Linked DNA regions of Tamandua tetradactyla. The protein of the gene in region 4 interacts with the protein of the main gene of each other region in a pairwise test. Links are inferred from orthologs where the notes say so. Each region holds a gene or a part of one and is shown on either strand. Other genes may lie near its edges.

Region 1 (7,594 bases), on a different chromosome or scaffold from region 4:
AGTCCTGTGAATTAGGAATTATCTCTATATTGCATAGTAGGAAACATTATGCAAGTCAGAGAAAACTGACTTGCCCAAGAGCATAAAGTAAAAAAAAGACAGCCACACTCTCTATTTGCTACAGATGCCAAATAACTAATTATCTCTGAGAAATAAAAGTATCACCTGTTATGTAAATTCTTGCTAAAAGCATATAAATAAAGAGTAGCAGCAACAGAAATCATTCCATTGGATATTAGGAACGTCTGTTGTAGAGGTAATAATGCAACCAAACATAAATAAGTTTGTCTTAAAACAATGGAAAAAGATTTTTTTCTGTTTGTTTAAAGCATTAAAAGAAAGCCCCAGGGTTTGCAGAATCTCAAGAAAGCTTGAGATTCTGCAAAAGTTTCATACACTACAGTTACTTTCCACAAACCTACAACCTAGCTTCCTAGGCCAGAGAAGTCCTGAAACCCAGAGAGGCCAGCCTCTTCAGAACAGCAACTAGTTCCATCACCCTATCCCATAATATTGACAGCTCTGTCCAACATGAAAAAAGTTTGAATGAGCATAGCCCAAATGCCCTTAACGATTAGAATATAACTCATACAAACTCTGAAATCTGTACTATAACTAATTGTTGTGGTGTGCTTTGAAACTTATTGCTTTTTTTGTACATATATTTCACAATTAAAAAAATGTTTAAATATAAAAAGAAAGCACTACTCTTAAGGTATGGGCACAAAAAGCAAAAAGGTTTTGGGCAGTTTTCATTGTCATGCAAATCTCTGATTTACATGCCACATGCCACCTAGTGTTGTAAATTATAACTGCACAGAATTATAACTCATAGTTATTATAACTCAAAAATAGCTAAAGGATACCCAGAGCAATTCAAAAATATGAATATGATTTGCCTGGCATCACTTTTTTTTTTTTTTTTTGGCATCACTTACTTTAGAAATGACTCAACAGCAATTTCTTTCTTCTTTATTTTTTTTTTAACCTACCTCATTCAGAAATGTAGTTTAGCCCAGAAAAAGTAGATGTATTTATTAAGGTAATTCCAGTTTATTTTTTTTTTAAAGAAAATATAATGAATTACAGCTAGGATAACACATAGTTTAAATAAATCAATGGAATTTATACTACTCCTGAGATTTAATAATTATGAATCATTTTACTTAAGTTTGAACAATTACCTTTCATGTCATTTGCTGAAGTACAATTTTGAAACTTGATTTCTAAGGATTTAATTAAAACTAAGCTCACTGCTCTAAGGATCACTTGATCTGGACCAGAGATACTTTCACATCCAGGTTGAACTTCATTGCCTCCAAAGAAGGAAGGTTTTCCATAAACAGACAATGTCCTCAACAACCCCAAATTCACAGCTTGCAAAATGGCATTAGCTAAAGCCAACATGTCCACATCTAAATGAAGATCTGGTGGTACGAAGGAAAGGGCAGATCCAGGAAAGAGGTCTTCACCCACTTTACAGAGAAGGCACTTTTTAATGAAGAGGATGAACTTCTTCTTGATGAAAGCTTGAACAGGCCAGGTAATAACATCCAGCACACAGGAAGGTTTCAAAAATAAAATCCTCTGGCAAGTGAAATGTGACTTCAGGTAGATTCTGGAGGCTATAAGAAGTTCAAGCAACTCCAGGAAACTCAACAAGCTGTTTATTATTTTAGAAGTATCTTGGAAGGTTTCAAAATGTTGAGAAAATAAGGAGTTGTAAAATACTTCAAAAATAGTGTCAAAAGGAGCCAGGAACTGCTTTAGAATTTCTGGAATTATAAACAAGGAAAACAAAGTCTTCTTAAAACACAGTCAGTATTACACTTTAATTTTTATAACTATTATCACTTTACAAGATGAAAAAGTAGATTTGGATTGTTTACCTCCAACATGAACAAATAAGGATACAAAAAGTAACTGCTAATAATCACCATTAACAATTTCTACAAACATAAATAAATCAAACTATGCAAGGGATAAATATATATATATATATGTATATATAAAATCTATACACACATATGTAGTAATGAAAAGTTTTAATACTTTTCTTGATAACTTTATTTTATTTAGTTTTATTATTTTTTAGTATTGGTTTGCTATGTCATTTTCTTTTAAAAAGGTATCTTCAATTAACTTTATTCAATTAACAAATAAGAGGAGAGATTCTGCCAAGAAAGAACAGATGTTGTAAAATAAATATTCTTCTTTATAATATAATGTTCTTCGGGAGCAAGACTGTGGCAGTCGTTATGAGATAACAAATAATTCCTACCTGTTTTTTGTGAACATGAATCTTTAAATATTTCTTTTATTACGAGTGTAAGGGTCCAGAGACAGGATGTTATCTTATTACTCTCAGAGTACTCAGAAAGATTTTTTTGACAAAAAGCAATCCAAGAATTACTTAATGTTATCTACAAATGAGAAAATAAAAACATTTGCATTAATTCATTTAGAAGAGAAAAATGTGATGCTGCATTTGTTAATACTGTTTCTCGTTACACTGAGGACCATTCTTAGAATTTATTTATATTAAATCTGTGAAAATTATTTTGGTCTCAAGCAGGAGATCTAAACACTTATTTTTGCAGGGGTGGGGAAGAGCTACCCACTCCTTTGAGAATCTAAACAAAGTCATGGACTATTTGACCAAAAGACATATACTGCTTCCCTGAAACCCACCCATTGGGTTAAGAATCTGATTTATAATGATTTACAATATATTTAAGACTCTAATCCTTGATATCATTGTATTGTTCCATTTTTCCACTTTTGTGGATTTACACATGTATTATGTCAGCAAAAATTCTATTAATACATATTTGAAATATAAGATCAAATGCCAAAAAGCAATTTCAAAGAAACTATAAGAAAAATAATAACCTAACGTTAATACTTATCTTACCTTCTCTCTCAGTTGGAAATAGAGAAGCAATGCAAGACACTTTGCAGCCATGTGGGATAGTAATTTATCTGAATTCTGGAACATAGAGATCTGTAGGATTGCAAATATTTAACTGCTATTGGTGACTGCTTTTTAGAAATTTTATTTTAAAACTTTTATTTAAAAAATCCAGATCTCAAAATAAACAAAAAGCAAAGGAAGTAAATGGCTTACTAATTTAGAATCCACTTCAGATGATTTTAAAAGACATTTAATGATGTCACTGTATTTCTCCTTTGCGTGGAAGTCAGTTTTGCAAGACAATATTCTGGATATCATCACTTTGATCACTGTCAACTGAAGCAGTGTTACTTCTCGGGCATTGCCCATCTGGGAGGGTCTCTTCAAATGCTCTGGTTCCATACAAGTGGTACCCAAATGGGCAAAGTGTGGCTGGTTCTTGTCCTGGCCCCCATGGATGTCTGGCCATTCTTGGGAGGTAACTGTAGAGAAATCTTGATCTGAAAATGTGGGGTTGAGATAGAAGATGTACTCATGGCTGTCTTTTTCAAGTGTGGCTTCGAGTAGCACCTTTTTGTATAACTGTTCTAAAACTTCACTGAAAGCTTTCATTTTGACTCCCAATATGTATCTTTTATAAGAAGGTTGACAACTCCAAATTGTAAGTATTATGGATCTTGGAAATGAGATGACTCTCTAAGATATTTCTTCAATAAAACCTAAAATAGGAAAAATACTTTAAAAATATTCATTACAAACAAAAGGCAACTGTTTCTACTTAATTATTAAGTTCCTTGAATTAAAAGTAATGCTGATTGTTTAATTTATTAAAGGGAAAACTGATAATAAGAACTTACTTTCCATACAGAATGAAGAACATAAAATCACTTTTCATTTTATCATAACAGAAACATTAGCATTCCTCTTGAGTTCATCAAACTTGGCCCTATTAATATCTTAGGGCAGATAATTCTTTAGGGTGGGAACTGTCCTGTATATCACAGGTTGCTTAGCAGCCTCCTGGACTCTATCCACCACACGCAGGTAGCACTCATGCCCTCTCTGTAAGAATGGTTAATAGAGACAGTCAGCTGACTGGGGATAAAGGGATGGGGGTACCTATAGCGTCCTTCGGGAACATTCCCCTGGATAGTCCATAGGATAGTGTTGGCAGTCAGGACCAACAATAGCTCCACTGGTGACATTCCACCAACAATTGAGGAAGAAGTTGGAACAAGACAGTGCAGGAAAGGGCTGCAGGACAGTTCAAACCGGTCTTACAGGCAGGGAAGGAGAGAGCTTCTGACGTAAGCTTAGAACTGGCGCCAAATAGGCAGAAACAAGTTTAAATAAGTAACGGCCAGTGTCACTGAAATGTAAAGTGTAATCAAAAGCGGGAACCTTTGGCGGGAAATTTGAATTAGTTAGACTGTCTGGATAGGCTGTAACCTCTGGAGTATCCAACCAGAGGAGAAACAGGGAAGGGACCCGCATGCTAGGCTTAGGTAATAAATACCACCGCTTTGGTCGCTGGGGGCATCAGCCACCATTTTTCGGCTGCGTGCGCCTTCTTGCAAGATCGTTAAAAAATTCTTTTCTTCTCTACAATCCGGTAAGCGTTTATTCTCTTTCAGGAATGGCTTACTTTGTAGCAATTTTGGGTGCTCATCTAGGATCTGACTTCGGAGGAGGCCCCCGCGGAGGACGCAGGGAAGGCAGGCCCTGCTGATTGAGTGGTCCCAGACTCTGCCATTAGGGGCCCACTTCTGACTGCCAGAAGGACCCGAGGCCAGACGCTTGGATCCACCGACTGTGAACGAGAAAACGGGAAGGGAAAATCTACCTCACAGTGACCAGGCAACTCTGTGCATGGAGCAAGGTAAGAAAAAGACTCGTGGGTATTGCCTTTGTGGTCGGGAAGAATTCTGACGAGCCTGGCACTGAGTGAGCAAGTGCCGAGTCCCAATCCGCAGTTCCCTTCTCCTATGAGGGAGAGGGTCAGAGCTGGATGAAGCAAAATGGTGCTGAGAGAAAGAAAACCAGGCAAGACTCAGAATGGTTAATAGAGACAGTCAGCTGACTGGGGAAAAAGGGATGGGGGTACCTATAGCGTCCTTCGGGAACATTCCCCTGGATAGTCCATAGGGAGAATGTTGGAACATTGGATGGATAGTGTTGGCAGTCAGGGCCAACAACAGCTCCACTGGTGACATTCCATCAACAATTGAGGGAGAAGTTGGAACAATTTGAAAAAAATAGGCGGAATTTTCCATTTCCGGGGGCTGCAGAGGAAAAAAAGGGTGAAAGAACATAGACCTGTTAAGTCCCTATACCTTCTGAGAAAAATACCTATTGGACCAGGGGAAATCGGTTATATACCTTGTCCAAACTTATGTCTATTCTAAATATCCTCTTTATGGGGGAAGAAAGGGGAATGGTGAGGAGGACAGCTATGAAACAGTGGGAGAGGCAGCACCCACCTAGGCAAGGGGTAATGGCAGCAGAGCAAAAGTTCTCCAGTGTAGATACTAATTGGAATAATACTAATCTGGAAGACAGGGCACAAATGAGGGATTTTAGAGACTGCATATACAAGGGATAAAATTGGCTATATCCAATTCTCATAAAATAAATAAAAAATAAATAAATAAAGCTTTTGAGGTGGCTCAAGAAAAAGACAGCTTAAGTTATCTTAAAAGGGACTTGAAGAAGTACCCAGACTTACTGATAGCCTTGTAATTTTCTAGTTTTTGTCTCTTTGGTTCATTAGAACTATTTCAGTGGTATGTGACGACTTGATCCAGAGACTGGGTGCTTCTATAATAATCCCATCACCAAATGCTGGAGTTGCAGACTTCCTCCTTGTAAGAGTGAAGAAAATGCGTGAATAAAATTATCTTGATATGGGAGCATTTTTCCTGTAGTTCAGTCTTGACGAAAGTGTCAGTGCAGGAATTGAACTTCTAGAAGGGTTATGGTGTCTCCTAACAGGACCTACCAACTACTTCTGAGCAATAATGTTGGATTTATTTGAGGAGCAAAAAAGATGCCTGCTTTCTGACCTGGCAAGTAGCTGAGCCAAGGAAGGGTTGGATGATTAGAAGAGACATAAGATTCTTGGTTAAACTGAAGATTTCATTTGGGAACCAAAAATTTTGTTATCTCTTGGATAGTGAGCCACATATTTTATGCATCTTTTCCAGCAAAAGCTTGTTGGATATTATGTTTTTGAGGAATGAACTTAGACAAAACCCATTCTGCTTACCTACAAACGTTGAGGGACCAGGTGAGGAAATGTTCAGGGATGGACTCTGATAGTCCTGTGGCCCAAAGATGTAAAGGGGTCTTGGCCTGACAGTCAGAAAAAGATCCAGAAAATAGATGGGTGGATGGATAAGCCACTAGGAGAGTTATTGAGAGAGTCTCAGAAAATGTTTGTGAGTAGGGAAGAGGAAAGCAGGAGCAACAAGCTAAAGTCATGTTAAGCATGGTTGACCACATGGTCAAGAAGGGATTAGAGATAAAGCAGGCAGAAGCAAGATAGAGAAACTGTCTGGCCCAAAGGGGATAAAGGAATGAGGAGGGCACAAGACTCGGCAGAGTGTTATCACTGTGGGAAACCTGGTCATTTCAAAAGGGAATGCCTGAGTTTAAAGAAAGAAGGATGAGTAATACCCCTGATGAATTTTGGGGATTAGGAAGGTCAGAGCCTCCTCGTCTCAAGAACCACCAGGAGTCTTTGGTAAATCTGAAGGTGGGTCCATATCAGGGAGAAATTACACTTTTGGTGGACACTGGGGCAGCCTGATATTCTGTGACCCATATCCACAGGGGATAGAATTCTCTGGTTGCTCCCTCACAATTTCGGGGGTAAAAGGGGAAGGACTTAAAAGTTCCCATTTTCAAACCTACTAATATCTGTTGAGAAGGATCCTATACCCCCCTGCTGTACAGTCCAAAAGCTGGGAATAACTTGTTGGGAAGGGATCTGATAGTACCCATGGGACTTGCGGATGGGCATGATCCAAGACTACTGCACAGAAAGCCAATGAGTGTTGTGGGATTTGTGTGACAAGAACCACTGCCAGTAAGGACTGAAAGGGACAGAAAAAGGACAATGTGAAAGTAAAATAACTTCAGAGGTAGAACCATGGAAGCTAAAGTCTAAAGTCAAAAAACCTCCAGCAAAAACAGACCCACCCAAGTACTTGGAGAGGGTAAGTTTGCCCAGAGGCAGAAGATGGGCCTTCCACCTCATGGTGGAGGAATGGTGCCAGGCCTTGGAGAGGCACCAAGTCCTTGGGCATGTGCTCTAGAGATGGCAGAAGGCCCAGGTGCGGCCCGATGTTTGGAGAGGGTGGAGCCAAGATGGGTGTAGTCTTCCCAGTGTTCCCTAGGGTTGTGTTGGAGAGGCGGGCCACTGCATAGGCCCTTGGAAAGGGTGGGACTGCCAGTTTCTAAGGCCCCAAAATAAATGACTCTCAGATTTTGAAATCAAATGGAGTTTGCCATGCAGGTTTTCTAAACTGCTTGGGTCCAATGACCCCTGTATTCCTTCAGATTTCTCCCTATGGAAATGAGGATATGTATCCTATGACTGTCCCTCCTTTGTATGTTGGCAGCAAATAATTTGTTGAATCTTACAGGTCCAGAGCCAAAGGAAAATTCTTCCTTAAGACA
Region 2 (7,506 bases), on a different chromosome or scaffold from region 4:
AAGTATCTACTCTGGCCACGGCCGGGCCTCCAGCCCCACTGTGGCATTAATGCAGAACAAATTGAGACATATCCTCTATATAATTAGTTCCAGAATTTAAAAAGATTTACGGTATAATTAGAGAGGCAGCGCTGCGGAATCCTTTCACTGAGGACTCCGGGAGCTCGGGGATCCGGCTTGCGTTGGCATCAGAACCGACCGGTAACCCGGGCGGCTCCAGGCACGGCGCGCTGGGGGAGAAAAGGGGGAATTTGCGCGGCGTTCCCTCCAGTGCACGGCGGTTCCCGGGACCCCAAAACGAGTCAGAGAACAGAACTCCAACCGCAGATGGAGGGGTTGGTCATATATATAAATATATGTATATATAAAAGATCGAGTTCATTGTCAAACAAGCTGAGGAAGACGGGAGTGGGCTAGGACAAAAGATCCCTACCTTGCTCTTTTTATTAAATTTTTAATTTAAAGAAAGAGAAAACAAAAAACTGGGAATTCTACAGTGAAGCTCGTGGCTGGTAACCATCCTAAGCGCCTGCTGGGTGGCCCGAGGTGGGCAGATTCTAAGAGCTGAAATTGGTGGGGAAGGAGCCGCAGATGTCCGGCCGTTTGTTCTGGGCGTTGGGATCCGGGCGCAGGTCCTCGGGCGAGGACCTAGCGGAGCGCCTGTTCCTCCCGGGAGGCGGGCTGTCGAGAGGTCGGGCCACTCCTGATCAAGGGCCTCTGCGGCCCAGAGCCCTGGCCCTTGACAGATCGCAGCGCTTCAGCGTGTTTATTCAGATGTCTGTGGCCTCAGGGTGACGCTGGAGCGCGGCCCCGGCGTGCGCGCTGGTCCCTGGGGCCCCTGCGGCCCAACTCCGCGCTCCGCTGTCGGTGCCGGTTGAAAAAACCGGTCCCGGGGGTCGAGAGACCTCAGTGCCGCTTCCCCCCAGCCGCGATTTTTTGATCTTGCGATAATTACATGCACCTTCCAGGCGGGGATGCGCTTTACTCTTGTACCAAAGCCGCACAGGTTTCCAGCATCTTTCCTTTCCTCCTCACTCCTTTCTTTACCCCCACCCTAGAGAGGCAAAGGGGTCGTGGCAAAGCCTCGAGGGAGACCCGAGTTTCAGCTCGGTTCTTCCATAAACTGCCATGTATCCTTGTATTATATGCTAACAAAAATTGCAAAGTTTTTTCAGCTCTCAGGCCAACACCATTCTCTTATCTAATCCTCAACTCCTATCTAATCCTCACTAGGGTCCCATGAGCTCGTCTGACCCATAAGGAAACCGAGTCTCTGAAAGGCTAAGGAACTCGTCTAGGTTCACAGCCCTTGTTAAAGTAGGTTCACAGCCCTTGTTAAAGTGGCGGAGCCGAGATTTCATTTTCTGGCCCCCAATTCCTTGTTCGTAACCACTGCGCCCCGCAGTTCGCCTTTCCTCCCCTGCCGGGGCCTCGTTTCTTTCTCTGTAGAAAGGGAGCTGAATCTCTAGGTCTGACTTTTGGTGATTTAGACTGGTATTCCTTTGGCCATGAGTCTCGGCGCTGACGATGTGGGAAGGGGGGTGAAAGAGGGGAGCCACCAGCTCTCTGCAGCCTTCATTTCCCTGAGACCTTGGGCCGGCCTCGAACTGCAGGAGGAGCAGGAGAGCGCCTGCCGGCCGGGGCCCGCCGAGGATGCGGCCTCCTCCTGCTGAGGCTCTGGGCCTCTTGGCCCAACTCGGGGTGCCGAGAACAGGGTGGCCGGTGCGTCGGCCTGGGTAACCATTCGGCTCCCGCAGAGTACGTAGCCAGGAGAGGGAGGAGAGGAGGGGAAGGGGGTATGGGGCCCTTGAGACACGGGGGTCTGCGGGTGCCATCCAGGACACCGTGCCAGAGCGCAATGTGTGTGTATATGTGTGTGTTGGGGGGGGATGCCTCAGAGGTCTCGGTACAGGTCCCGGGGCCCTCAACGGCGGGGTGTCTGATTTGCAGCACTTACCTCTCTGCCGGGTCAGTTGGAGGGAACTCCTCTCACCGCTCTGCACCGCAAGACTCGGAGAGGGGGCACCAGGGGGTTGTAATGGGAATCGCACCACTATGCTAACCCACCACAGGGCATTTCAGGAAACCAGTGGTGGAGCAGTGAGCGAGTCTCAAATTTGTCGGTCTGCCCTTTCCTCCCACCTCCGCACCCGCTTCCCCGGGCAAACCTTTTTTTTTTTTATTTTTTAACTTAAAAGCAGAGATGTAAGCGCATTTGTCCTTCGTGGGATCCCAAACCACAAAGACTCACATTTCAACCAGTCCCTCCAAATATCCTCCCCCAAGACAAAACTTGCAAAAGACTGCTAAAAAAAGAATTTCATTCTTTTCGTTTAGAAATGGAAATCTCTGGCTTTTCGGAAAGGAACCCCTTTGCTTCGTAGCGCCTGAGTCCTAGTTAAGAAAAACGAGTTCCAAGTAGAAATAGAAGAGAGGTGGGGGCTGGGGCGCTCTAGGGCTACTTGCCTGAGACAAGTTCTCTCCGGGGGTCTTTTTCCATCACAAAGACCAAACGCACTTGCCCTCTGCCCAGCCCTAGAGCTCTGCAACAGGTTCAGGGATGGGGCGTGCAGGAGAGCAGTCGACTCTCTCCATAGAGTGCAGGGGAAAGAAAAAGAAACCTGAATCAAGAGCCTCTTCCATTTCTTTAAATAATAATAATGTTTCTGCGTGGAGATGTGGCAAAGTCAAGCACCGTAAGTAGCGCAGGGAGGTGTCCACGACCGCGAAGGTGGCTGAGGGAGCAGCGGGCAGCGCATGCTCCCAATCTTTGCCCTCAGGGTCTCCTGACAGGCGATCCCAAAAGTTGGGAATTGCGGACAGCGCGGACGTCCTAAACCCGCACACGCTGGGTGCCCGCAGCCGGAACTCACAGCGACTGCGTTTAGCGAGTGCAAATTAAAACCAAAGCTTACGAAATGGAGAGTAAGTAAAGCTTTATCAACGCGTAGTGTCTTCGTGAAACTGCATCTACCTTGATGCTTCACGGGACCCTGGCTGGAAAGCTGCGGGCCTCATCCCCGGCTCGCCCGGTGCCCAGGACCCAGGGCAACCCGCCGCCTCCCGCCCTGGGCGCCTTGCCGTCCCAGTTTGAGCCCTTTGGGCCACCAGGCGCCGCTGGGCGTTTCCCGCGCCCCTGAAATGCACATCACTCGGGAGTCCCGGCGCTTCTCCTCATCTATGGGCCTTCCGCCTTATCCTCGATAGATCCTGTGGGGCGCGGAGCCAGGCGGAGAGAGGAGAGGATTTGGCTGGGGTCCACTCGGGGAGCTCCCAGCCGACACTGCCTCGCGGCGTGGGCCGAAGGACGCGCTCCCTACCCGGCTCCTCCAGCCGCCTTTCTGGGCTGCGCTTCCCCGCGGACCGCTGCGCGCCGAGGGTGGTACCCCCGCCGGGGAGCAAGGCAGAGCTTGGCACGAGCGGCGCCAGGAGCCCCTCTCTCTCCATCTCCACCTCCGACAGGGTGCTAGGATGCTCCGGCAGGCTCCGGGCCTTTCCCCAAGGGTATTCTTACCCCCTCGCCCCCCAAACTAGCCACTGTTTCTCCCGAGCTTCACCGTGGAAGAATCAGATACTCTGCACTAGGAAGGGCGATTAACGTGGCTGACACGGATTTTTAGATAGGTAGGAACCCCCTTCCTCTAGGTACAAACCTCATCAGGTAGCCAGTTACCAGACAACTACCAACTACCATGCCTGGCTTATTACAACAGATGCAACTTCTCGAGGCCACCAATCTGGGGCACGTTCGTCTCGAATCCCGGGCCTCCGGAATCCACAAAGGGCCTATACCAACCCCCCCAACCTCCGCACCCCATGACCCCCAAATTATGGCCACCACTCTAGCCTGTCGGCTCTGGAAGCAGGAACCGGATTCCTAGGCGCAGAGAAAGGGCATCTGCGATTTATAAGTCCAGGCAAGTTTTCTGTGCTTAACCCAAGTTCCCGCCCTAGCCGAGGCTACCTGCCCCTCCCTCCAGCCCGCCCTCTCAGGTTAACACCCCCATCCCCACCCCTTCGCACTTGAGTGCAAAGTGGACACGAACTCTCACCTGGAGGGACTCACCAGTGCCTCGAGGCATCCACACTCGCGAAATCTTAAAGAGGGGGCGGGGGGGATGCACCCCACAAGCTAGCTGAGTGCGTGTGGCGGGTGGAAGGAGAGGAGGGTGCCTCTGAGAGAGACGGCCCCTCAGGCCCGCCTCCAACCCCCGCTGCGAGGGCGCCCCCCCCCCCCCAAGGAGCGGCGCGCGCTGCCTAGCCCGGCTGGGGCTGCGGTGTGAATGGAGCGGCGGAGACTCCTGGCTCCTCCTCCGCCGCCGCCGGCCCCTCTTATTTGAGCTTTGGGAAGCTGGGGGCAGCCAGGCAGCTGGGGTAAGGAGTTCAAGGCAGCACCCACACCCGGGGGCTCTCCGCAACCCGACTGTCTGCTCCCCCCTTTTCCCTTCCCGCCCTCCCTCCCACCCACCTTTCAGAGCCGGGACGCCAGTCCCAGCGGCCAGGCCCCGCTGCTCCTCTCCGCGATCCTGGACTTCCTCCCGCCGCGGGAGCCGGCTTCCACGTGTGCCCCGGAGCCCGCATCCCGGCACGCGCTCGGGATCCGGGTGCCTTCAGCAGCTGGAGCAGCCGGGGACACGCGGCTCGGGCTGCGGCATCTGGGCCAAGTTCACCGCGGCCGCGTCGAGCACAGAGCGTGGGCAGGACCGGAGGAGCCGCGGGGCGCCCGGGACTGAGCCGCAGCAAATGGGCTCCGACGTGCGGGACCTGAATGCGTTGCTGCCAGCGGTCCCTTCGCTGGGTACCGGCGGCGGCTGCGCCCTGCCTGTGAGCGGCGCCGCGCAGTGGGCGCCGGTGCTGGACTTCGCGCCCCCGGGCGCCTCGGCTTACGGTTCGCTGGGCGGTCCCGCGCCGCCGCCGGCTCCTCCGCCGCCGCCGCCGCCGCCTCACTCCTTCATCAAACAGGAGCCGACCTGGGGCGGCGCGGAGCCGCACGAGGAGCAGTGCTTGAGCGCCTTCACCGTCCATTTCTCCGGCCAATTCACCGGCACAGCCGGAGCCTGTCGCTACGGACCCTTCGGTCCTCCTCCGCCCAGCCAGGCGTCGTCCGGGCAGGGCAGGATGTTCCCCAACGCGCCCTACCTGCCCAGCTGCCTCGAGAGCCAGCCCGCTATTCGCAACCAGGGTAAGTAGCCCGGGGAGCGCCCCCTACACGCGGGGCGGTGGCGCCGGGGCTCTCACGGAGTGCAGGCTCTTCTTTCTCGTGCCTCTTCTCTCCCTGATCTTAGCTTTTACTCGGCTGTCCGGCCAAGGTCTAGGAAGCAGCGGCCGGGAAGACGAGGCGATGCCCTGAGAAGGGACCATACGCCGGCATCGGCTTCCGACGCTTTCCACCTCCCGACGCCTTCCACCTCCGGGAAGGGCGGGAATCGGACTGTTCGCATGAGCCGGGAGGTCCTCGCCCCTAAAGCTCCATGAGACTCCCGGATTTCGAGTTCCTTCGGGAGTGGGGAAGGGGGAACCGTTGCAGTCTCAAGCTCTGCCTCGGGAAGAGGATTTTGTTGTCCAGGGAACCACCAAATTGTCACTAGGCACTGGGCATCGTAGACGTCCAGACGGGGGTTTCGGAGTGGGTCTCCTACAGCATGAGCTGCCTACGCTACGCTGGGATGTCCAGACTTTACAGCGCAATATGATATTGCACACAGTAGGAACACAAGTACCAAGTTGGGGGGGGAGGGTAAGTAAATGAACGGGCTAGCAACTAAATAGTGATTTTCCTGAAACTGTGTCCGAGTCCACTTACGGTTCCAGGATATGGAAGTGTAGAACTGGGGCTCTCCTGAATTCCTGCCCAGGCGCGCGTGGGGGCAGTCTCCTGGGATGGGAAAAAAACAGTTTATCCGATTCTGTGCTATATAGGGGGCCGGGTTCTACCCGAAGCAGTGGTATGAAGCCTGAACATGGGCCTGCCTTTCAGCGCGGCTTGGAAATCCCCTCCTGGCTTACACGCGGGGCTCAGGGGAAAGAATTTTGCAGGGTCTGGGAGTAGACAAGGACAGGTTTATTTGCGGTGTTCAGGAAAAGTACAACGAGAGACATGAACCATTGTTTTCTCCTATCACTCTGGCGCCTGCACTTCTCTCCTTTCTGGCGGCCAGAGCGGAACCAAGCGGTTCCGGAATCTCAAGCCCCTATAGTTTGGTCCCTAAATTTATTTTAATTGAATTTCGTTGAGATCTTTTAAGCCAATTCGGTTTGACTTGCTGTCTTAGGAAATGTTTTGCTAACACAGTGATGGGGAACTTTTCCTGAAGCAAAACTTCTCACGGGCCTAGGAACTAAGATTTTTCTGGAACGCCTGGGCTGGTTGGGACGGAGTATGTATGGTTTGCAAGAGGTGCTGGGGCGCCCGGGCTCGGAAGAAGGGCTCTGTGCACCTGGCCGACCGAGGCCCAGGCGAAACCGAAACCATCCTCCCCTTTTCCACCCGGCAAGAACCTGGGGCCTAGCCAAGGAGTTCTTAACTCTTGGGCCTTCAGAAATAAAGTGTTTTGTACTTAAGGGAATTGGAACAGCTTAGTGCCCATTGATCGCAGAATGCTGCATGGTCTGGAGGCTCCTGTTTTCGGATCGTGTCACTTCTAATTGGCAGGCTGGTGTTTCGTTTGGCGATTTCTCCAGGTCCCAGTTTGCGGAGCTGTAAGAGGAGGGCCGAGATGGGCGACCTGGAGGTCGGTCCAGCCTGAAATTCTGCATTGGAGAAGCGGAAATGCAACTTATCAAGGGTTCTGGGTTCTAAATACTGAACTCGCCAGCCCACCTAAACATGACTGGGCCAGAAATAGTGCAACTGGCCAGTATGTGGTTGCCTGCTGGTTAGAGAGGCCTAAGAAGCCATTTATGTTCCTGGGGCCCAAAATCTACTGCATCATTATCTTTGATTTGAGTCCATCTAGATTGGGCAGGGGCTTATGGAACCTGGGCTTGGTGGCTTGGCTTTGAGTCCAACGTTCTGCAGGGCAGACATGTCTGGTGCTCGGGGTCCGGACACCTATGCCAGGCTGTAGGTGTTGCAGCCAGCCAGGACTACACTGAGGGAAAAATGCCAATTCTTCTTCAGTAAACAGACCAAGTTGCCCCAGAGAAAAAGAAAGTTGGGGGCAAGAGAGCCAGAAAGGAGGTGTGGACGAACTCCTACCCCAGGGAAAGGCCAAAGGGGAACCTACTACCCCAAACACGGGCAGTAGTTGAGAGGCGAGCTGTGGCCTCTGGTCTTGGCTTTCTCCCACAATAGTAACATTAATGGGTTGAATATGCCCAGCCCTTGGAGTTCACTCAGTTGAGCTGGGGTGTGGGATGTAAGAAGCCGCTGCAGCCCCAACATGGGCAACCAGGACAGGCTCTCGAGGTCCCTGAATTCCGGGTTTATTCTTTTGATTTCTGGGGTTCCTTCGGCTCCCCCAGGAATATATGGCCAGGCCAAACCTCCTGGAGTTCAGGATTCTG
Region 3 (6,904 bases), on a different chromosome or scaffold from region 4:
TATAATGATTCTGCAGTCATACTCATTTATTAAATCCTATCTTCTCTGTTATGACTCATCTTTCTTCTTTGATCCTTCTCCCATCTTTCAAGGAAAACATGTCAGAATTTCTACAAGAAACTTCCAAATGTTTAATATTTGAAAAAATATTTCTTTTAAATAAGTCTTTGGTGCTTTGAGAAAAAGATGTATTGTTTATTAGAACATTAGAAATTATATATATTCATAGATATATATGATAATTACTCTTGAAAAAAGTGTGTGTACTCTATGAAACATTTGAAAGAATATGTATAAATTTGTAAGTATATGTGTATAGATAAAATATTATTTTAGCATTAATAAATTCAGTTCAGGTGACATTACTGTGCTTTTTGGCATCAGTTATTATATAATTCATAAATTTTAATACAATGCTGGCTAAAATAAAATATGCACATAAAACTATGATCCTGGGAAAAATCTGTCTCAGAGCCTATGCCCAAGCATTCATTTCCCATCAATTTAATTATCTATGTGGAAATAACAGAAACTCTCAATCATGCACTGTGTTGCTCTGGGGAAAGTCTATTCACATTCAACCATGGTTGTTTCTCTGTTTGGGCTTTCTGTGTTTTTTGTGGTCTTTGTTTTCCTCTATGATAATTTAGAATACTTATGAACCCTTTTAGCACATTAAGAGTCTTTGGTTTCTTTTTCTTGAATTTTTTGAAACAGGTTTTGATTTTTCCATATGAAATAGGTTTTGTAATAGTTCGTTTGAGCTGTCAAGTTGGCCAGGTAATGTTGCTCACTTGTTATGTTGCTGTGGAACTAAATCATTAGCACATGAATTTCATTTATGGCTGATTACATCTGCAGTTGTCTAGGTTAAGGGGAGTGCCTATTGATATGAGTTATGTTTAATATAATTAGCTGGAGGTTTAAAAGGAGAAGTCAGAAGAGAGAGAAGCAACTCAGGACAGTTCATCAAATCCAAGCTCAGTGCTCATAGCCAAAATAGACCCAGATATTTGTAGACAGAGAGGAAATGTCCCAGGGAAACTTGTTTGAATTCAGAAACTGGGAGAGAAGGTCAGCAGACATCACCAGGTGATTGAGGAATCAGATGAAAGACAGCTGCCTTTCCTTCCTGTAAATTTGTAGGTAAATAAATCCTCTTTATAAAAGCCAATCCATTTCTATTCTATCGCATTCTCGCAGCTATAGCAAACTAAAGCAGGTTTTAATCTCTACTGCTTTGCATATTACCATCCTGCTTCAGGTCGTGGACAATAGAGATGCGTGCTCCGTTATCTAGTACGAGGAAATGTCTCCATGTTTCCTCCTGTTGGTTTTCAAATCTTTTCTCCATCAATGCTGTAATATGGCGGTTTAGTTTATCAGTTTGGAATCATGAGTCTCTTGAATAAAGAACGTCCCCCAAAATGTTGCTTATGCAAAATAGGCTTCACTCTTCTGCCCCACTAAAGAATTGCAAAGTTGAAATGCCAGCTCCAAACATCACTAGGCATCCAGGCTTCTATAGCTTTTTTTTCAGTATCTTGAGTGAGAGACTCAGATTCCCCATGTAAGGGAATGAGCAGCTCTGGTCATTACATCCATGGCCCAGACACTTGGAAAGATGGAAGGCAGAGCATTAGTGTGAGCTGTGTCCTACCAGTTAAGCTCTTTGTGAGAATTTTTCCAGAAATCAGCTCCAAAATAAAAGTTGAGTTAAGTGGCTACCTCCACCCACAAACCCTCCTACTAGGAAGGCCTGGAAGCATTTTTTTATTTAATACAACTCTTAGGAATCCAAATAGCAGTGCCAGTCACTGCATACATAATCAATTCTTATTTTCATTAATATTGCATATAAAGGAACATGGTTTTGTAAAAATGAAATATTCTTAAATTCTATATGTTGATACTTACACTTAAGTGTTTGAACAACACCCTCTTATTTAAAATCTTCTCCAGTTCTGATTTTTCTATTGGTGCCTTTGTAAATTTCTAATTACTAATATTTATTTTCTTTTTCTGCTGGGTGGTAGTAAGGCCTGCCATCTCCATGTCATCAGAAGTTTAGTCATAATTCCTTGGCATATTTTGGTATCGTTGTAATATTTTATTTTAACCATGGTTTCTTAAGTTAGTTTAAATTTGCATTTTCCTAATGGCTACTGCTGCTGAACATCTTTTCTTATGCATATTCCCAATCCTTTATCATCTTGATGAAGTGTCTGTGCATTTCACTTGTTTTGTTTATCTTGTTTCTCTGGAGTGTTTTTCTTTGTATGTATGGCTACAAGTCTGGATACAAATAGATGCTTTAAAAGTAATTTCTCCCAATCTATACTTTGCCTTTTCATTCATTCTGAGAATTTAAAGAAAGTTTTAATGAAGTCCAATGTATTTTCCCCCTTCATGATTTTAACTTTGCTGTCAATTCTAAGAGGACTTGGAATATCCTTATTTATGAAGAATTTATTCTATGATTTTAATAAAACTGCATAATTTACAATGGATGTTTGAGTTAATTTTTGGTGTCCAACGCTTGGTTTAGGAAGAAGTTCCTTTTTTGCACATGGATGTCCAAATGTTCCCACATCACTTTTTGGGGGGGAGGGGGTTCATGGTCCAGGAATCGAACCCAGGTCTCCCGCATGAAAGGCGAGCATTCTACCACTGAACCACCCGTGCACCCCCTACATCACTTCTTTTAAAAGTATTATTCTTTTTCCATTGACTAGACTCTATTTCATTGTCAAGTATCAAATAACCACATAGTAATGGCTTTATAATAGTACTGTATGTATATGGGCATTAATCTATTTGTTTACGTGTTACTACATCATAACATCATAACCTTAGAGGAAGTCTTAAAATAGGATAGTGTGGGAGGAGGAGTGATGTCATCAACATCACAACATAAACAGCTACTGAAAATGTCTCTCTCCTGAGATTAAAGGACAACTCTGAATTTCTCAGAACTCTAGAGGAAGATAACTACTTCTCTACTGGAGAAGGACCCCACAAATGCCAAATTGAAGATAGAGAAAATCAGGTAGGAAACTTATGTCTCAGACAGGCTGGCGCTCTCCCCTCCCGGTACTCAGTCTCACACACACAACGGGAAGGACACAGAGACAGCATATGGGATCCCTCCCACTGGGGTCACAGAATATTCTCTTACAGCAGCGAGAGATACTCCCACCATTTGGACACCTGGGGGACAGGGGAGGGCATTTCAGTCCAGGTCAGTGAGGGCCAAAGAGTCTGAGAAAATGTGGACAGTCTGTTTCGAGCCCTATGTGCGAAAGCTGTTCCCGAACCCGAGGGAAACAGCTGCGGACAGCCTGATCCTTGCCTGGGAGATGGCTGAAAACTGGACAGACGGGGAAGTTCTCCGCCACAAATTAAGTGGGGAATACAGCCCCACATTGAGCCAGATATTGGCCAGCACGTGAGGCACCCACAGTTTGAGCTCAGCCTGTTCAGATACAGCCTGGGTTCCCTGGACAACTAAATTGTTGAATAATGCCATTTGCGGGGCAGACGAGAAAGTGCAAGGGAATTGCGTCGTTTTTCAGACTCTCCAGACCATGCCTCAGGCCCACGGGAGTGGTTTAGCCCCTAGTGAGAATCCAGTCCCGCGTTGGCTGAGAAGCACCGATGGCAGCTCCTAAGAGCAGTGTCCAGCAACGAGCCCGGCTCTGTGGGCTGGTAAAGCTGGGCGCCCCTGGGGGCCTCAGACCGACCCCTTTACCCGCAGCAGAGACCCTGCTGGGGTGTCCCTGCCGGCGCCGTGTCTGAGGAAGGTCCCCGCGGTCGCCTGGCTTCGGGGTGAAGGGGGTGCAGAGCCAATCTGACAACCGGCTGCTGAGACAGAAAATCTGCAAAGCCCGAGGCGCAGGAGGCCAGCGCGCACTGCCTCTCCTCCCCCGTCCTCCTAGGGCTCGAGCCTGCCTCATGGCTCCTGACCCTTTACCCTGCGCTTCTCATCCCAGAATCCCAGGAAGTAGCACTCTTCGCCCTTTTCCCTGACAGGAACCTAAGACCCTCTTGTTTTCTCTACCCGGACCCCGCGCGGCCCCGCCCACCTCACTTCTTTGTGCCCTGCGGAACAGCCCATCGCAGCTGCGTTTCCGGAGGAGGGAATTCGGCCCCGGACCCTACGCATTACGTGAATTCCGGCGGCGACAGCCCGCATGGCGGTGAGCGCCGTGGAGAGGCCGCGGGAGTGACGGGGTTGCGGGTTGTCTGCGGCCTCCGATGACCTCCGCGCTGCCTCCCTTTCTCCAGGCCCCTGTCCGCGCTGCTCAGGAGACGACGTCGGCGGCCCCAGCCCTAGGTCCCTGCGCGCCCCACGGTTCCCGGCTCCCTGGCCCGGTTCCCAGTGCCCGGAGTCCTTCCTCTGTAACGCCCCATCCAGCCCGTCTGTGCTCGCGGCATCCCACCTTTAAGGACACTGACTCCGGGGTGCACCCTGTAGGCGACGGCGGAGGCGCGGCTTCGAAGAAGAGGAAGAAAAAACGCCGGAACGGCGCCTCTGTGGCCGACGGCGGCGAGAAGGCCTCAGAAAAGCGCGTCCCAGAGGAGCCCCCACTAAGCGCTGAGGCCCAGGCAAGAGCCGGTTCCAGGCGAGAAGGGTGGAATCCCCGGGTGCATCCTGGGGTCGAGGCACGGCAGGTGGGGTCGAGGTCTTGTGGCCTGCGGTCTACGGACTTAGGGTAGGGAAGGGGTGGATGGCTGGGGTTTTAGGGTTCTTTTCGGGATAGAACCAGGGCCTGAGCTCCGGGATCCTAGTACCTTTTCCCAGCCACTCCTCTCCATCCCCCGACTCCCAAAATCATCACAGGCTGAGCAGCTGGCCCAGGAATTGGCCTGGTGTGTGGAGCAGCTGGAGCTCGGTCTCAGGACCCAGAGACCCAGCCTAAAACAGAGTGAGGAGCCCTCCTGTTGAGTTGGGGGGAAGCGGGCGGGGACAGCAGTGTTGCCTGCAGGTGCTGCCTGGGGATGGAGTTGGTGCCTTTGTGGTGGGGTGATGGGAGATGAGATGAGAGGAGAGGAAGTCACTGGTGTTTTTTATCCACAGAGAAGCAGGCTACTGGGGCAATCCGGACACTGTGCAGTGAAAGAACCCCCTTGCCCCGGAAGAGGCAGCTCATGCACTCCTTGTTTGGAGACTACAGGGCTCAGATGGAAGCAGAACGGAAGGAGGCCCTGCGTGCTCTCAGGGCCGGTGAGGGGCTGGAAAGTGATTGATTCAGGCTGGCCTAGTTCACAAGTGTGGAGGGGAAGACTGGTGGTGAAACAGAAGAAGCTCAGAGCACAGGGTTGGTGCAGGGAAGGAAGTGAGCTTAGGGAAACCCAGGGGAAAAGGCAGAGAGAAAAGCCTGGACCACTCAGGAACACAGAACTAGGGCTTGGACCAGGGCAAAAGATCCTGGGGGGTGAGGAAACAGCCGGATCCTGCTCCTAAGGTAGGGGAAAGTCTTACCTATTTTTACCTTGGCTTTCTCTGTTGACCATTTCGTTCAATGACACAGCTACACACCCTGAGTTCAGTTTCTGGGCCTTCTGCTTAGTAGCTGTCATACCTTTGGCAAGTTACTTAATCTCTCTGTACCTTAGTTGCTTGACTCTAAAGTTGGAAGTGCTGATAATACCTACCTTATGATTTCCAGAAATCAGTCAGTTGATTTATATGAAGTTTTCTAAGGATATTAAAATCTTATGGGAATTATAAGAACACAGTGTTAGCTGTTATTTTTCAGTTCTAACTCTTTTTCCTTCCGTCTACAGCAGCCCACTTGGCACACGTAAAGCCTGTAGATGAGGCCACCAGAAAGAAGAGCCAAAGGGTCTGCAGGCCCCGCCGAGTGGGGGCAGCCAAGGCCTTCCTGGATACTCCTGATGAAGAGTTTAGGTTCAATTTCTTTTAGCTCATGCCCCTCATCCTCGAACAAAGCCTCTCCTTAGAGTGGTATGGGAGGTTGTTGTAGTACGGAACCCTTCCAGGAATGTTCTGTTGGGTTGATGTGGGCTTGGCCCATTCTTAGCTGGTTGGTGAATCTGATGTTATGGTTGTTGGGCAGAAGTAAGACCCAGTATATTGGCATCACTGACAGACAAGCACAGACGCCACTTGTAGGTTTTCTTATGAAATATCCATCCTGCCAGAAGACAGAAGTGCATTTAGAAAAACTTCTACAATTTAATGAAGTGTTTAGTATGTTATTAAAATAATATTCTACTTAGTATTTGATTAGATTAAGTAGGTATCAATAACATAATTGAACACTGGTGCTTACTTTTGAAAGGATGCCTGTCAATGGATTGCTTTATGTCATTATGCCACATCTTTGTAATAAATCTCTATTTTTTATTGAAAAAAAAGGTTAATGAGTAAAGAGTACTAACCATTTGTGTCAGAGAGGTACAAACAGGGCATCTGACACTGCTGGGTCTAGGCTCACAGTTCTTGAAAGTATGTCTTGTTTCTTTTTCTGAGTGAGCATCATCCTCGGTGGCTTTGTTATTATGGACAAAGAGTTTCTCACCCCTGGTAGTTCCAGTCAAAAACTGGTTAGGTGTCAGTGGGCCACCTCTGTGAAGGTAGGCCACTCCAGGGCCTATACACCAGACCACATGCATCCTCACAGTCCCTCCCATCCAGCTCCTACCATGCTCCACTCTGTGTTTCCCACACTACACCCTGCTCTTGTGTCCCAAAGCCTACTTGAACTGCACCCCACCCCTACAGCCCCTGCATTGCACCTCCACAACCCCATGCCCCACATTCCATGCTCATAGGCACCAGTGTAGCACCCTCAAACTGTGCCTACCTGTGTTGCAACCAATCACCACACTTTTATGCCCTGCCCCATGCCTTACATCCTCCTCTACATCTATCCTG
Region 4 (6,930 bases):
CCCTGAAAACATTATGCTAAGTGAAAGAAGCCAGTCACAAAAGACCACATATGGTATGATTCCATTTATATGAAATATCCAGGCAAATCTATGGAGATAGTAAGTAGACTGGTAGTTACCTAGGGCCAAGGAGGATAGGGGGATAGGGGAGTGATAATTGAAGTTAGTGATAACTAACTTTTGAGGACGATGGAAGTGTTCTAAAATTGATTGTCGTGATGGTTGTATAATTCTGTGACATACTAAAAACCACTGAATTGTTTACTTTTCACAGATGAATTATATGGTATGTGATTTATATCTTAATAGAGTTTTATTAAAAAAATATAGACCCCTAAATATTTAGTAAACTAATGACTAATGAAACAAATTCTAGGACTCGTATGGAAAGGGGGTTCAAGCTAAAGCCATTTAATACTTAAACTCAATTCCTAACACTCCCAAAGTACCAAAGTTTCATGAGTTTGAAGTGAAGACGTCTTTAATTCAGGCTGAAAACATTTTATAATTAAAACAAAATAATTTTGATATTTAGAAAAACAGACAGTTTACATATATTGCATTATATAGCATAAACATACACTCTGTACATAATAATTTAATCATTACTCAAATATGAAACAAAAGAAATACTGATCTTTTGTTCCGGACTCTGGTGAATTGTAGTTTTTATCCTTAGCTGAACTCGCTATAAACATGTACCAAATCAGGCTCAATCTATATGAATACTAGAACATGCTCTAAAATATGGTAATTTAGAGAATACATTTCTAACTTTCTTCTTTCTAAAATGATTCTGGTTAATGAAAATGCCAATATTATATACATTACAAATATAATAATAAAACATTATAAATATAGGGAGTAATTAAAATCCTCTGAGTTGGTATCTTTTTATAAAAGGAGTTACCCAAGGATTATATTATAATGACATCCATTGTTTTTGTATGTGCGTAAAAAAAACCACCAAGAGAGTGATATGAAGTTAGAATTAAAAAAAAAAAATGGCCTTGAATAAAATTTCTTTAAAAGATATAGCACTGGCCAAGTACTGTGTAAAGCGCTAGAGCCCTCACCTTTAAAAAGCAACACTCTGGAGTCAGGGAAACGTGGGATCAGATCTTGGTTCTAACATTTATATCCGTAATTCTGAACCACTTACCTCAGCTCCCTGAGACTTACATTTTTATCAGGAAAATGGTAGTACTAATACCTAGATCAAAGGATTAAATGGGATGCTATATAGCAATTTCCTAGCACACTGCCTGGCAAACAGTAATTGTTTTAAAACAGTAGCAATTATTATTACTTTTAATAATAACTCCAATGGTTATTACTTTCTTTAATCTTTTACCTGCACCCTTAACCTTTTCTCAGCCTTCTTCATCGACCTCAATAATCCTTCAGAAATTATTTATTCAACTACTCCTACTTAGGGGGGTTACACTATATTATCAGGCCATGGGAATACAAAGAGTCTACATGAGAGAGGACAGACATAACACCAATAATTATAAGTGGTACACGCAGGAAGTATGCCATGGACATATATAACAAAGAGTATTTAATTCAAGGAAGCCTGAAGAAGCGCTTTTTTAAAACAGAGACCTGAAATGCACAAAGAAATTAGCCAGGCAAAAAAAGCGTTGCAGGCAATAGAACACATTTAAAGTTCAATAAGAAAAAGAGTACAGGATGATCTCAAGGAACTGGAAGTTGTACAATATAATTGGAACAGAGAGAGTGAGACAGAAGAGGGCCAAGAATAAGCCTGGAGAGGCAGGAAGGGCCATATTCTGCAGGACCAACTAAATTAAGTTAGATTTATAAGATTTCACCTTAAGAGCAAAAGAAGCTACTGAGGGGTTTTATGGAACTCTGCATTTTAAAACAATTTCTGGGATTTGGAGAAGATAATGGAGTCGAAAGGGTTAAAAATGAATGCAGGGAGATTATTAAGAGGGTCTTGTTGAATTCTAGGTGTCAAGGGAGAAAAGCGTGTACAAAGGTAGTAATAGTGGGATTGAAGAGAAATGGAACTATTGAAAAAACAATTCATTTGGGGAGTAGAACCAATAACCTTTTCAGGAAGCTGTCCCAGACATCTCCAGTTAACCATTCTTGTCCCTTTAATTCCCCAAACCTTGAGTATTCCTCTATTTTTACTATTAACACAGTGAATTTTAATTTTGGCTTGCTTTTCTATCTTTATTAGAATGCAGACTTCTTTGGACCAAGGGCTATGTCTTTCAATTCTGCATTCTTAAATTCTGCACACTGACTCAGAAGCAAGCTGATATTCTCAAGGTTTACTGACGTGCATCCTTCCCCTTACATAAACAACTTGAAGAGGAGATGGTTTTGGATTTGAATTTTTAAATATTTTCTCTGACGTTCCTGCAAATAGCTGATATTTTCATAGCGTATCATGTAACATAGTGATTATCAAATGGGTGGAAGGGGATAGAAGTAGTTTGGAAAAGCACATATACAAATAATTATATTAATGAAAAAGAAAATAAACTTTTGTTTCTGTAAAAAAAGTTACAGGAAGTAAAGCTTGACATTAACTTAGGTGCTGGAACATGGATTTAAGCAGTTGAGAAACATTTCACAGCTGTTTTCCTACTTTCCCTCTAATTATACTATTACTAGTTCAATAGGAATGGAATAAACAAATCTGTTAGATCTGTATGCACAATTAAGAGTAAAATGGCTCAAAATAAAGGTCTGAGAAACTTTTATGTAAGTCAAGTGTTTGAGTTTCTGATGATTCTCGTATACTGGCATATTCCCTAGCCTTGGCTCAGGCAGTCCCTACAGACCTAGACCACTTCCTCTTTGTCCATTCAAATTCTATGCGGAGTTTAAGATTCAAATCCTCCAAGATCACACGCTAATCTCGTCCTTCTCTGAATTCCAAGGGCAGTTCGAAGTCTATGTCAGGAAATTTAATAAGTGACCACGTTCTGCCTAGTAATTTCTTCTCAACAAGGGCAGGGAGACGCGCTAAAAAAGTACAAGTGGTGACAGATGAATACCAACAGTGTGCTTATTATAACACTCACGTGGAAGTTAAATCAAGCCCAATCCTAGTTCACAGGTGATAAATGCGTGACAGTCAACCTTTTATCTGACCAAAGGGCCCAGTTAATGAGCGAATAAGCTCTCCAGAGAGTTCTAAAGAGAGAGAGGGGGGAGGGGAATTCAAGCTTCCTCAACAACAAAAAAGCAGCTTTCCTTAGTTCACCCCACTTTCTAGCTTCCTCAAAGCCACTCCTTCTCCCCAACTGATCTCTTCCCAAGATGGAAACGACGAAGTCCAAAAATGATATGACATCTGCTTTGCCACCTGACCTAGGAGCGGAGACTCACCAGTTTCATATCGGACTTTAGGTTGTCAGATACCCGTCACTCGACTCCTCACACCCAGAAAGCGTTTTCCGGTTCAATCCTCGACACCGAGCCGCAAAGGGGATCTCGGAACATGCAGTCTTTCTTTCTACGCTTCCCTCTCCCAGGGAGTCATGGGAACTGTAGTCTTCCCTAGATGCATCATGGGAATTGTGGTCATCTTTCCTTTTCCTCCCTTTCCTCTCTAAACTCCTCCTTCCCTTAGCTCAAATTCATCCGCGTTGCCACTTCATCTTCTCGTTCTCTCTTTCTCTTTCTACACCCCAGCATGATATCATGTCCCCCATATGGGTTTGGGGTCCATGGTATTCTGGGACGTGTAGTCTCCCTGCGACTGAGACCCCTTTTCCCTCCTCCCTGTGGGAAGGCGGATGGGCGCGCGGCTTGCTGGGAGCTGTAGTTCTCTAGGGTCTCTAGTTGACGGGTCCCGCGCTTTTGCTCAAGGGAGGCAGGAACTACAACTCCCAGGATCGCCTGGCGGCAGCAGGTGGGAGCGGGGCTGTTGATATCAATATGGCGGTTGTCAGCCAGACAAAGACAGTCAGTCTGATGTGATTGAGACAAGGGTGGTTTTCAGGGGTAGACTGGGAGATAGGGGCCTCCCCTCCCCCTTCTCCTCTTCCTGCGCTAGTCTCAACCCCTCCCCAGTCCCCTTCCAACTGGCGCCCCACGCGGAAGACACCCCTCCCCCTCCTGCTTTCCCCTCCTCCTTACCTCAGACCTTCGTACTGGGACGTTGGGGAGGGGGCTGTGCCGGGCGAAGAGAACTCAGCAAGGATTCTGAGGTGAGTCGAGAGGTTTTGAAGCCGGACTTCCTCAAGTCTTTTCCCTTACTTCTTACTCTTCACTTTTTTTTTTTAAAGGGGTTTTGGGGAGAAAGTGTGTGGGCTGGGAAGGGTCTCCTAAGCGGCCCGATTGAGAAGAGGGAAGAATCAGGGGCTTCAGAGTGTGTGACCCAGACGCAGGGTATGGGGTGGGGCACTTTGTGGGGGGCTGTAAGTGAAAGGCGTTGGCTGCTCCCCAACTCTTTCTCCTTGTTTCCTAAACTGGGCGGAAGGTTTGAATCCTGGAGGTAGGGTCTGCAGTTTGGAGTTTGGGTAACTAAGGTGATTTTGAGGTACGTTGATTTATTTGGTGTGTACATAACTGTTTTAAACTGTGTGACGTGTACTTGTATGATATGTTTGTATTGAGTAAATGTCTATAGATAAGAAGTTAAATAGCTAGAGACATAGCTTTTTCCTGGGCCTGGGCTGAGAAGCGTGCGTGAGGTCCTGATCCTGGGCGTTTGGGCTGGCGACATGGTGCGGGGTAGCAACTCGTTGTGTCCCATTACTCACTCACATTACTCCTCCCTGCCTTCATCCGCTCTTCTGGACAAATCTCCGCCCCAAACTCAGGGTAGGAGAACTGTAGAGATGATGTGGTTTGGAGATGGATTTTTGCATCCTTAAGTCGGTAGATAGGTGGCAAACCAAAAGTGTTCTTAATATTTTATTCCGGAACCGTGTTCTGGTTACACTATTGGGGCTACTTTGAAAGGAGTCCTCCACCCACCCTCACTCTGGAACATTAGGTAGAGGTATCTCACAGTCTTCTTGTTAAATAGATTAACAATTACTTAAGAATTTGGTGTGTGGGGTGGGAGTCGGAAGTGCTGAATTCTGTATGTGTTCTCATTGTCTACTAAAGACACAGGATGACTGTTGCGTATCTTGAGATAAGACGAGTTATTTTCGTGCTAGGAAAAACTGTCGGAAATTATCTGGGGGGCAGCTGAAAGGCGCTGCTTGTATTTTTCTTTTACCCCACCCTGTTCTGCCTGGCATTTGCCTGGAAGCTGGTATGGAAGAGTGAGGAAGCATTGGGTGAGTGAAGAGAAGGCAGTTGGTATTAAAGATATATACTATGTAAAGTTGGATAGTATAAAGTGGTTGCTGTCTTTATTTACTCTGAAGCTTTAAAAACCTCATGTATCATTAGATGACTAGTTCATTTCTCTGGAATCTTGCTGGTAGAGATCTTCTTTGCTTCCTTCATCCTTCCATCCTTCCATCCTTCTACCAGCCGTTTTTCTTTCCTTTTTTTCTTGGCATGGTACATCATTTTTCTTTCCGATAGACATAATGCCTACTGTGCCTTTTTATTTAGTTTGCACTAATATGGTTGTACTTTTCTGTGGGTTTATTATCATATTTATCATTAAATGAAAAGGATCTGCATTTATTTTTATTTTGCATTTATGCCACAAGTGAATATCATTTAGGATTTTAGTGCTTTGCATTAAACTTATTTTTAAATCGCACAAGTTGTCAAATCTAGTTAAATTATGAAAATTTGAATTCTAATTTTCTTCTATTTGCAATCTGAATTATAAAGGAAAGAGGATCGCAACATCACTTGTTTCTCAGTCTTTAATATTTAATAACATTATACCAGGAGAATTTAGTATAATTTGTTTTTTACTTTCTTCAATCTGAAATGTAAGTTTTTAAATAACCCTTCTTAGTGGTGTTTTTAGTGTAATGGATTTTTAAGTAACTAAAATAATTGCCATAATTTCTATTTAGACTGTTGAGAATTTAATGTATTTACCTATTTCCCCTGAAACTTATCAATTCTTGAAACCACTACCTATCAGTAAGGGACTTTAGAGTGTACAAAAACTGAAAATCACATTTAGTATGTGATTTTATGTTATATTTCATAACTTTTTATTGAAATTTCTGCTGTTGGTCATTCACATAAACTGACTGAAGTGCAAGGTAGCATGTATATTTAGACTGGCCTGAATTTAAAAAAATTGATGTTTTCTAAATCTCAAATTTAGAATGTAGAATATGTTGGTTCAAAGCCGAGTCATTAGTTTGTTATAAACTAGGATTTCCAGAATTATTTATTTTAACATTATGTCTTACATTGAAGATTGAATGTACTGAATGTACTGAAACATTACATTGCAAAAACTGGGGAAAAATCCTATGTAACTACGTAATAGTGTGGTTTTTGCTGAACGATATTATCCTAGCCATAGAGTTTTAAAATGTTTAACAGTTATTTTAAGAAACAGACCTAAAATGTTTGTTGGAGTTGGGAAATGTGTTTTCTTCTACCTGCCCTACCCTCAAAAATTTTTTTGTTGTTGTTTTGTTTTCTTCTATGGAAATTCAAAGTTATTTGCTGGGAAAAGCTTTCGTTAAACTTACTTTGATTATTAGTCTGGATGAAATCTTTGCATGTAAACCACATATATTTCGTACATTTGTTGTGGGGGAGGGGATTCTGTTGCATTTTAAGCCCAGGGCATTAAAATGATGTAAAGCCTTTACTGCAGGTTAAAGCATAAAGCATTCTCAGCATGTGAAAGTCATATGGTTTACGAAAAAAAGTGGAAAATCAGGGCATTGGTGCCTGGCCAGCTTAAAATTTCATCCTGTAACTGTGAAAGCCACATTTATTTTCATGTGATCATTTCTAAAAATGTTGTCTATATTATGGCAAGTTGAAAATCCAAAC

Evidence for each region.
Region 1: the proteins of HMBOX1 (region 4) and ASB7 interact in binary tests that used the Homo sapiens proteins (3 or more experiments, as listed by UniProt). The two-hybrid records come from large-scale screens. The link is inferred for Tamandua tetradactyla from reciprocal best matches to the Homo sapiens genes HMBOX1 and ASB7.
Region 2: the proteins of HMBOX1 (region 4) and WT1 interact in binary tests that used the Homo sapiens proteins (3 or more experiments, as listed by UniProt). The link is inferred for Tamandua tetradactyla from reciprocal best matches to the Homo sapiens genes HMBOX1 and WT1.
Region 3: the proteins of HMBOX1 (region 4) and C12H8orf33 interact in binary tests that used the Homo sapiens proteins (3 or more experiments, as listed by UniProt). The two-hybrid records come from large-scale screens. The link is inferred for Tamandua tetradactyla from reciprocal best matches to the Homo sapiens genes HMBOX1 and C8orf33.

Annotation. Positions count from the first base shown.
Region 1 is NC_135338.1:84,036,662-84,044,255, reverse strand, and holds the start of ASB7 (ankyrin repeat and SOCS box protein 7), read left to right. Parts: upstream 1-4,591; 5' UTR 4,592-4,793; intron 4,794-5,018; exon of another isoform or gene 5,019-5,600; intron 5,601-5,639; exon of another isoform or gene 5,640-5,775; intron 5,776-7,316; exon of another isoform or gene 7,317-7,594. Other genes in the region: LINS1 (protein Lines homolog 1), read right to left, coding at 1,185-1,775, 2,282-2,423, 2,915-3,004, 3,128-3,526. UniProt on the Homo sapiens protein: Probable substrate-recognition component of a SCF-like ECS (Elongin-Cullin-SOCS-box protein) E3 ubiquitin-protein ligase complex which mediates the ubiquitination and subsequent proteasomal degradation of target proteins.
Region 2 is NC_135334.1:108,436,742-108,444,247, reverse strand, and holds the start of WT1 (Wilms tumor protein), read left to right. Parts: upstream 1-4,485; 5' UTR 4,486-4,743; coding exon 4,744-5,182; intron 5,183-7,506. UniProt on the Homo sapiens protein: Transcription factor that plays an important role in cellular development and cell survival. Recognizes and binds to the DNA sequence 5'-GCG(T/G)GGGCG-3'. Regulates the expression of numerous target genes, including EPO.
Region 3 is NC_135338.1:102,033,984-102,040,887, forward strand, and holds C12H8orf33 (UPF0488 protein C8orf33 homolog), read left to right. Parts: upstream 1-4,181; 5' UTR 4,182-4,193; coding exon of another isoform or gene 4,194-4,199; 5' UTR 4,200-4,257; coding exon 4,258-4,608; intron 4,609-4,843; coding exon 4,844-4,928; intron 4,929-5,080; coding exon 5,081-5,227; intron 5,228-5,790; coding exon 5,791-5,930; 3' UTR 5,931-6,384; downstream 6,385-6,904.
Region 4 is NC_135329.1:30,331,431-30,338,360, forward strand, and holds the start of HMBOX1 (homeobox-containing protein 1), read left to right. Parts: upstream 1-3,907; 5' UTR 3,908-4,199; intron 4,200-4,545; exon of another isoform or gene 4,546-5,282; intron 5,283-6,930. Other genes in the region: INTS9 (integrator complex subunit 9), read right to left, coding at 3,376-3,384. UniProt on the Homo sapiens protein: Binds directly to 5'-TTAGGG-3' repeats in telomeric DNA. Associates with the telomerase complex at sites of active telomere processing and positively regulates telomere elongation.